2 linked regions of the Ovis aries genome follow. The protein of the gene in region 1 interacts with the protein of each later gene in a biochemical or structural test. Links are inferred from orthologs where the notes say so. Each region holds a gene or a part of one and is shown in the gene's direction. Other genes may lie near its edges.

Evidence for each region. The genes of interacting proteins can lie anywhere in the genome.
Region 2: the proteins of MAPT (region 1) and FKBP5 form a complex in vitro, tested with the Homo sapiens proteins (2 studies listed by BioGRID and IntAct, with this or other methods). The link is inferred for Ovis aries from reciprocal best matches to the Homo sapiens genes MAPT and FKBP5.

Annotation. Positions count from the first base shown.
Region 1 is NC_056064.1:45,621,781-45,626,524, forward strand, and holds the start of MAPT (microtubule-associated protein tau), read left to right. Parts: upstream 1-1,665; 5' UTR 1,666-1,799; intron 1,800-4,744. UniProt on the Homo sapiens protein: Promotes microtubule assembly and stability, and might be involved in the establishment and maintenance of neuronal polarity.
Region 2 is NC_056073.1:9,818,501-9,823,407, reverse strand, and holds the start of FKBP5 (peptidyl-prolyl cis-trans isomerase FKBP5), read left to right. Parts: upstream 1-1,631; 5' UTR 1,632-1,741; intron 1,742-4,907. UniProt on the Homo sapiens protein: Immunophilin protein with PPIase and co-chaperone activities. Component of unligated steroid receptors heterocomplexes through interaction with heat-shock protein 90 (HSP90).

The DNA of each region.
Region 1 (4,744 bases):
AGTTAGAACAACCAAAGGGTCAATTCTAGAGACTCAGAACTTAAAAAATTGGCTCCCATCTACACCATCCACTCAGTGCTCCCAGTATATATTAATTAAACCCCTGTGAATAAACAATCTTTAGCTACTTTCTTTTTGTATTCATCTACAACACACAAGGACTTCCCAGGTGGCACGAGTGGTAAAGAACTCACCTGCCAGTGCAGGAGACGTAAGAGACATGGGTTCAATCCCTGGGTTGGGAAGATCCCCTGGAGGAGGGTATGGCAACCCACTCCACAATTCTTCCCTGGAAAATCCCATGGACAGAGGAGCCTGGTGGGCTACAGTCCACAGGGTCGCAAAAAGTCGGCCACGACTGAAGTGACTTAGCACATAACACACAACAGTTTTGAAAAATTGTGACCTATGCAAATAAAAGCTTTAAGACAAATTCCTGTCTTTTTAGTACACGACAGCGGTCCCCAAGCTCTTATGCATTTAAAGCCTCCCACTGACTGTCAGGGCTTAAATTAGATGTTGGGGAGACCAGCTAAGGACAAAGCCTAGAGATTGGCTGACTGAGAGGATGAAAGCCTCTGCTGCTAAGTCACTTCAGTCGTGTCCGACTCTGTGCGACCCCATAGATGGCAGCCCACCAGGCTTCCCCGTCCCTGAGATTCTCCAGGCAAGAACACTCTGGTCAGTTTCAATCTGAAGCAGTGTTATCCAGGTGAGAATCTCCAGCAGGAACTTAGAAATCCAGATCTCAAACTCTATACAGTGTAACAGTGTTTGACAAACAAGATAAAAATAACTTTATAGGTGAAAATGTTTTCTAACGCGGTAAGTGAAACTTCATCTAATTTAAGATTTTATTCTTAGGGTGAAGATAATAGATGTGAATGATCCTTGTTAAAACAAAAAACCCCAAACCCTTCAAAACCTTGCACTACCTTATTACTACTAAGTTAGCCTTAACTCAGTTGTAAGTCTTAGCAAATTGAAGTAGATTTGCCAAGAATTCACCTTGATCAAAAACAAAACAAAAAGGTGAAAAGAAAGCAGGTCGAAAGAAAGCAGATCCAAGGAAACTGATCTGCAACAAGGGGAATCATTTCGGGAAATTCAGGGGAGAGTCAGGGTGCCAGCGATAAGAGGGGCAAGTCCGGGGAGGTTTTGAGGTCTGGGGTGGACTGGAGGGATGGCCATATGGAAACTTGCCCAGAACGTTCCCGAGACAGGACATCACTCCAAGACGTCAGGGGGATAAAAGAGGCAGCGGACCTGGGGGCGGAGCACCCAGCCCCTTCTCGACCCAGGGAGCAACCAAGCCATCCTCCCAAGGGAGGAGACCCCTCAAACAAGACAAAGGCTCCAACCGCGACAGGAGACCCGGAGTGCGCGTGCGCCAAGGGGCGCGCGTGCGCGTTGCGGTCAGCGCCGCGGCCCAAGTCGTGGGAGGAGGGGAGACCCTGGACGGGAAGCGCCGAGAGGAGAGAGCGGGGAGGCGGGGAAGGGCCGAACCTTGGGGCGCTCGCGCGCGCCCACTGGTGGCCGGAGGAGAATACGCCCACCGAGGCCTCACGGCCCGCCCCTCCCCTGGGAAGGCTCGCGCTCCCGCGGCTCGCGCCTGCGCCGCCCGCCGGCCGCCGGAGCGCGCCCTCTCCGCTCGTGCGCGCGCTCGCAATCTCCGCCACCCACCAGCTCAGGCACCAGCAGCAGCGCCGCCGCCGCCGCCGCCCACCTTCTGCCGCCGCCACCACAGCCACTTTCTCCTCTGCCTCCCTCTACTGTCCTCGCCCTCTGTCGACTATCAGGTAAGTGCGAGGCTCCGAAATCTGCCTCCCGGTCCGCCCGGCTGCACCTGCATACCGCCGCCCCTCTCCTCAGAGATGGGTTTCATGAGGTGGGCATTGGTCGGGGGCAACGGCGGCGGCCGCTCCTTGCGCCCTCTGCGCTCCAGCGCTGGGATTGGGGTGACTTGGAAAAGGGATCTATGCAAGGGATGCACGCGCGCGTGTGTGTATGTCCTGTGTGCGTGTGTGTGGGGGGGTGTCTACAAGACCCGCTTCACGCGGACCCGGCAGAGGTTGTGCCCACAGGGTGGGGCGCGGATGGCGGTGATCTGGGGGAGGGGGCTGCTATGCACGCTCGAACACCGTCTTTTGCCGCAATGGGCGTGTGATTCTGTGGGGGGGGGGGTGGAGAGGGGTCCAATGACGACCCCCGAAACCTAACCTGTAATCCAATTTCCCTGCCTCGGTTTGCAGACAAGGTATTGATCGGTTTCTAGAAAAGATGACTCCCTGCCTGCCCCTCCCTATCCCTCCCCGGCCCTGATTTCAGCCGGGCTTTCGCGGCCCTTGGTTTAAGGCGGTGGCCCACCCTCTTCTCGTTTTCCTCCTTCAGAAACCCGCAGGGGACATTTGGGGGCTGGGAGTGAAATCGGGGAGATGGGGAGGGGTCTTGGCGCTGTCACTTTAGTTGCCCTTCCCCCTGCGCGCGCCTGGCACCGAGACGCGAGCAGCGCAGTGCCCGAGAGAACGTAGTGCCCGGATCCCAATGTGGAGGCTCAACAAGGCAGGGGTCACCTGGACTTGGGATATGGAAGGACTTCGCAGCTGCAGATCCCGGCTCGAGGGTGCGCACAGCCGCAGCCCCGCACAGACCCGCTCAGGGGCGGCAGGTGCATTTCGGGGCGGGCCCCTTTCTCTGCGCTCTGCGCCGGGAGTCCGGCGTGTGCGCTCCCTGCCGGAGACGCGGGGCTGGCGCGCAGGGCTCGCCCCTCACTGCGGCAGTGGGTGTGGACCCGGGTGGGCGAGGAGGGGGAGGGTAGGCTGTGCCTCCTCCCACTTCCACCCCTGCTTTTTTCCCCTCCGATCGCGAGGTGCCATCTTTTTGCGGTGTGTCACGTCTTTAGAGTGCCATGCCAAGCCGGATGGCTGAGCTCAGGAGGACAGGGCGGGGACTGTCATTAAGGGGAGGGGGAGCAATTAGCGCTGAAATCTTGGCATTTTGTTGCCCGAGTACCGGGGTCGTTCACCCGAGATCTTCCTCGGGGGCTTGACTGCTTTGTGTGTAGGGCTTACGTGATCTGTGTTGCCAGCCCTGATTTTTGGCTTTTATTCTATGAAGGTGTTTAACCACAGCTCCCGCCCCTCCCCCCGCTTTTTGCCCCTCATTTCCGAGCCCTTTGTTAGATCTCGGAGCTCGCCGGGGTCGAGGAACTCTAGTCCTCCCGGGGGGCACGCATGGGCCGGGCGTGACCCCGCGCAGCCCTCTCCCAGAACCGGGGCGCGCGCCAGAAAGCCTCCGAGGGGCCGAAGGGGTGGGATCCGAGGTCCCTGCGCGCCTCGCCGGTGGCCGCAGAGGAACGATGCCCCTCCCCACACCTGGAGCGTCCGCGGGCCACGCCCCACCAGGCTGCACACCAAGGAGCACCGGCGACCCCCGGTGGGAGCTCGAAGGCGGGGCGCCTCTTCGCTTCACGCCCTGTTGCTTCGCCAGGAGGGAGATTGTGAGGAGGGGGCAAGAGGTCTTCTCGGGTGCTGCGGGCCACACCCATTTTATTAAAAGGACTAGAGGGGGGTCAGGGGGGAGGTTGTCAAGGAGACCACAAGAGCCGGGGAAATAGACCTTGGGGCGTTGCCCCGCCCCTTCCGAACAGAGATTGAGAGCCTGGGATAGGCAGGACCAGGCCCCCGGCCCCGGCTCCTGGGGGATGATGGAGGGAGACCTCCCCCGCAAGCCCTGAACCCATGGCTCTTATTGGACTCCGGTGGCTGAAGCCACCCAGATAGACATCTCTCGTGTTTTTATTATTGTAGTCGAATTTTATTTTAGAACTGTGCGGTATTTTCGCTTAAGAGTCCGAGTTCGCCGCCGCCTTGAAACCGGGAGGTGAGGATGGGGGAGGGGGCATAGGGGGAGGGGGGAGGGGATAGAGAGGCGAGTTCGGGCCCTGGCGAACATATCTGAGCCTCGCCTGCCTTCCATTTGCCGGATCCTGGACGGCTTTCTGGTTAATTCTATCGCTGGAAACTGGTGCGAGGGCGCAGTTCTGAGAAGGGTGAGCATTTTAGGGGCCAAATTGTCTTCTCGAGCCACGCAGATTTATCTGAATAGGCGCGGAATGACTCGGTTGGGGATGAGAGTCTGCCCGCGCCAGGCCGAACCTTCCCGTGGCTTCAAGATCGAATCTGGTTTGGAGAGGTTCAAGGATCAATTCGAGCATCATCGCCGCCAATAGAGCTGGAGGAGAGATTCTGATACCAGACAGAGCGAGGGTCTCGGAGGGGCCCTAGGAACGGGGAGCCCGCGGCCACCGCTGCCCATGATGGACCTGGGGCAGAGAAGTCATCTCCTGTCGGTTGGGGGGAAAAGAGCCGGCAGAGGCGAGTGTCTTTAGCCCAGTGCTAGAAACAAAGTGCAGTACAGGCTTCCGCGTTTTTACTCTGTTTTGCGGTGTTTTGGCGATTTGATGGGCCTCTGGGGTCTGCAAGGCCAGGAGGAGTTGTGAACAGGGGAATCCGGGGACCAGGAGATGGTCCTTCCTACGCTGATCCAGAAACTCCATCCCTGACTCTGGGCGCGCTTGCCTACCTGGGATCTCCAGGGATGCCCCGTTTGCGCCCACGCTCGACGCTGAAGCGCTGAGCCAGCCGCCGCATCAGGGTTTCCCGGCACCGATTCGAGGGCCATCGACTTCTGTCCCGGACTCTACTGCAGGTGGGAGCTGTTTTAAGTCCGGAAGACATGCTTG
Region 2 (4,907 bases), on another chromosome or scaffold:
AGGAAGAGCCGATTGCCCTGCTCCTGGGAGTCCTCCACTGGTCTATGCATAGCCACTTCCTATGCAGGTATCTTGTCACAATCTCTGAAACATGAGGCCCACGGACATGCAATGTGGATGGCACTGTCTCTTAGGTCTGGGACAATGTCCTCTCACCTCAGTATACCGTGCGCGTAGCACAGTGCTTAACTCCAGGCTGTTAAAAAGCATGTGGGTGTATGCTAAGTCGCTTCAGTTGTGTCTCAGAGAACTTATGGACTGTGGCCTGCCAGGCTCCTCTGTCCATGGGGATTCTCCAGGCAAGAATACTGGAATGGGTTGCCATGCCCTCCTCCAGGGGATCTTCCCAACCCAGGGACTGAACCCGTGACTCTTGACGGTCGGGCCTTGGCAGGTGGGTTCTCTACCACTAGCACGCCACCTGAGAAGCCCCATTAAAATCACAGTAGATGCTTAAACGATTGGCATTAGTATGCAGAATTAATGCACAAATAAACTGTTTCAGTGACACTCTTTGGCATCTGGTAAAAAGGTAAGCTTCTAGGCCCTGAAGCAGGGCCTTTGCCCTCACTGAGGAGGTTTCAGCGTCAGCTCTAGTGGTTGTTTCTGCAGGTGGCACCTCTTGAAGGCAGGGATGGTTATTTGCAGAAGAAACTCTTCATAAATACCTAAATGACCCTAGGTGATATAGTGTTGAGGCCAGATGTGGAGTTAGGAGATGTTAGGTTTCAATAGGTGATTATTAAGCTCCACAGTTGTGGGACTTCAGGTTCCTGTTTCCTCAAGAATGAGATTGAGCGAGCCACTCCCTAAGGCCCAGGAGCTGCTAGCTCAGTCCCCTTCATCCCAATCTTGGTTTGGCCATTACACTCCAGGGGCCCTGAGCCCCCTCCTGAAGTCCAGCTGCTCAGCAGACCTACCCGTTGGCAGGCGGCAGAGAACACAGACATCTTTTAAGAAAACACAGAAATCCTCTGCTGTCTCAGTCACCTGGGATCTCATGTTTGAAAGGTAGAAGACGGAGGGAAAGCCTAGTCTTAACAGTCCCTGAGTGTCCAGAGGCAAGTGCTACGTGCTATGGTTTCTCCAGATGGGATTTTTTCCCCCCAGTTCCAAATGGACAATACCAGTTCCCCTGGTATTGTTTCCCGGGGCTAACCTAGCTTGCTTACCTGACGCAAACAAGCCTGGCCTGCCCCTCTCCTTCCGCGAATCAGGTCGGGTGGGCGGACAGGAGGGCAGAACTGTCAGAGAGAGGTCCCAATGTGAAGTCCACTAGCTTGCTTGGGCATTAGTTTCCCCGGAGGTAAGGGATGGAGTGAGGGGGCGTCGTTCAGTTTCCTCCCTCTCTTCCCTACAGCGCCCACAAAGGGGCAAGGGCCAGACACGTGGGCTGGCGTGGGGGAGGCGGAGGTTACACCAAGGCGGAGGTGCAAATGGCCGGGGGCGGGGCCTTATTTGCATGGACGGCGTTCGGCCGCCAATCGGGATAGGAGGAGCGACAGCCCGCGCGTCTTTTGGGGCGGACTGACAGCCCCGGGGCCCTATGGGAGGCGGGTCCTGCGGCCCGCGGGGGCGGGACTGCGCCGGGCGCTGCCCGGGGGGACTCTGGCCGCTTCGCGGGCGCTGCCAGTCTCCGGCGGCGGCGTCCGGCGCGCTGGCGGCCTGCTGGGCGGGCTGAGGGGCTGGCGGCGCGCGGCTGAGGCAGAGCGACAGAACGGGCGAGCCGCCACGGCGACAGGTACCGGCGCCATGGCCACGGGGGGGATGAGGCGGGGTGGCCGCCCGGCCCCGGGAGCCGCGTTCCCTCCTTCGCGGTCCTGCCGCCGCTGTGCCGCTTCCTCACGCGGCGCCCCAGCCCGGGAACCGCGCTGCGGGGCGGGCGGCGCCGAGACGCCTCGGAGCGGGCGCGCTGGAGGCGCCCAGGCTCCCCCGCGGGAATCCTCTGCGCCCCGCCGGGCGAGCGGGGCCGGGGCTCCCTTCGCCTCCGGGAGGCGCGGAGCCGGGCGGCCGCGGGAGCGGCTCCCCGCCCCTGCCGCGCTCTCCCTTGGGAAGACGAGGCCGGTCGCGCCCCGCTGGTCCTCACTCGGCTTTTTTTTTTTTTTTTGGTTTCCCGCCCTGGGTAACAGGTCCCGGCTCCGGCTCCTGTCTCGGCGGCCCCCGACTCGCCCGCGGCCCGGCGCCCGAGAGCCAGGCGGCCCGTGAGCCGCGGCCGCCGCGAGCGGGAGAGAAACTTCGGTCTCCCGGGCCCGGGCGGCGGGAGAAGTGGGCCGGCGGTGAGCCGTGCGCCGGGACGCATCGCGGCCGCGATGGAGCCTCGCTCACCTGGCGGGCCCGCCGAGGGGAGGGATAACGGAGCGTCCCGCCGCAGCCGCGGTCCCCGGCTTTCGGTCTGCGCTCCCGGGGCGGTGGGTGTGGATATACGCGTTCCCCGTCTTTCACCTGCCGCCCCGGGAGGGGGACCAGTGACTGGGAACACGGCCTCCCCGCCCTCGACTGCCGGTAAGAGGGGACCGGGGCAGCGCCGTTCCAACAGGTGATTATCCCAAGTGCCAGGTGAGAGCCACTGAAAAGTTGTTTCAGGGTTCGGTAATTCAGTTCTCCGGGGGCTTTGTAACGCCTTCTCCCATAATGATTTTTTTTTTTTTAAGGTGTGCTGACCGCAGTATAGGAGTCAAAAACTAGTATTGCTTGGGGTGCGGGGTGGGTGGGGAAGGTGGGGAGTGTCGCCAGCGGGTAGATTGCCTTCTTTCCATTGACTTGGCCGGGAGGAACATCTTAGTTTAAAAATCGGTTTCTGCAGTGGTGGTGAAAGCATGCATAGTAAGGTACAAGTTGTAAATGGAGAATGCAGAGCTCGAGATATCCTTCGCTGTGGTTCAGGACAGAGTGTACAACGTTTGGCCGCCATTCAGTAAATTCTGCATGAAGCAGTTTGAGCTCGTGGTTTTGGATTTACTTTACAAGAGTGGAATACGGCTTAGCTTTGAATGGGAGCTTTCTTTGCCTCTCTGAGGGCACACAGGAGTGTTTATTTTCATTGTCTTCTCGTTTTGTTAGATTATAGACGAGGGAAAAGTTGAGGCATATTTTGGTTCAGTATTTTTAATAGTCTATGGGAATTCTCCTTCACCCATTCCCCCCTCCCCCCGCCCCGCATAAGAGTATTTATTTTAAAATTCGAGGGTAGAGTTGAACAACTTTTTATTCTTGTGGAAGTTTTTATGTTATACTTCCACTTATTTTCTGTTTCTCTCTCTCTCCCGGCTGACCTCACTTAAAATCTACAGTTATGGCCCTGACCAATTTTAGAAAAAATTTAAAAATAATATATAATTATTCTAAAATATATTATGAAGGTTTAGATAACTCAGATTTTTCTTCTTATGTGTCTTTTTTTAAAATGTCTGTGCTGGATATGATTTGAATAAGAGATGTAAGGAACTTCTTAAGGACAGTTACACTTTTGATTTAATTATGTTACTTTATTAGTGCTTCATTGAATGGTTATTAGTCACATGTTAATTAGTAACACCTTTGAAAGGTGCACTCTAACCGATAGGCTAGTTGTGACTGTTCGGGATTTTTTTTTTTAATCAAAGATAGTTTTCATAAAAATTGTTTTGTTTTCTTGAAAACAACAGGCTTATCTGCTGTGAGTTCTTTGTCTTTCAAACATGACCATTTTAAAATATTGGATTAGGAACTAGTGAAGTCTTCAATTTTGTTTATTCTTGCATTGGAAAAAGAACATATTTCGGTTGTTTTGTTTCCTAAAGTCTTAGCTTAGAACAATCAGTCTAGAGAAGGAAGAACATTCTCTTTCTATAGTTGTAGAAGAAATTATTACTGTTGAAAGCTGAGTTGGCTTTTCGATGCTTAGTGAAGGTAGATTGAACAGTGACTTGTTCAGAGTGAGTTTTATTCTGTATAAGTAGTTCTGAGGAATCTTATGAGACTAGGGTTATGGGTGGTCTATATAATTGTTTTAAGTGTATAGGAGTATATTAGTCTAACTATTGTGTATAATTAGAAGTTTTATAGTTTTTATCTTGTGATGCTTAAATGTATCACATACCATAAATTAAAGCTATATTTCATAGTTTAATTTACAAAAGCATGTTTTGGGAACTTTAACTGTAAAAGTGCCTTTTAATTAAAATACTGTTTTCAAATTCAATTTTTACATGTTTCAATTACTGATTTCTGTCCACTTTTAACTTGTGGTAGACCGTATCGTAAAATGGTCAACCACATTATAGCTTCAAAATTAAATATAAGTTGAATTCTTACATCTACGTAATAAATGTTGGGAGTATTTTTAAGTCACTTACCCTCAGGTGTGGCTCCTTTTGAATTTGGGGGTGGGCAAATATTTTTGATTAAACAAAGCTACAGAAAAACAGGGACACATGTGAAACAAGCTACGTTTGAGGCTAAATCACACGATACTGTTAGATAGTAATACTTGTTTATTTAACAGTAAAATGCGTGCTGTATCTGTTATTAAGAATATTTTCTGTAGGCCTTTAATATTTTTCACAATTCCTAACAAAGAATCTATATTGTACATATTTTGGCATACTGAATTCTGTACTTATTTTATGCTGAACAATTAAATTATTTATACTTTTTATAATTCTGAAACTATTTGAACTTTCTAACCTAGCTGATTAGTAATCAGATTTTGTTTTTCATTATTTTATATTCTGAAATTTTTTTAATGCATTTTTAACTTCTGACATTATGCCAGGAAAATTAAAAGTTTAAGGAAAATTAAATTTACAGTCATTCAAGACTAGATGGAAGTTGGTAGGTAAATCATATAACTATTGATTTAAAAACAGTAGCCACTTAAGTGGGTTTTTTTTTTTTTTTTGGTGCAAAAAGATGCTTATTTATTGTGT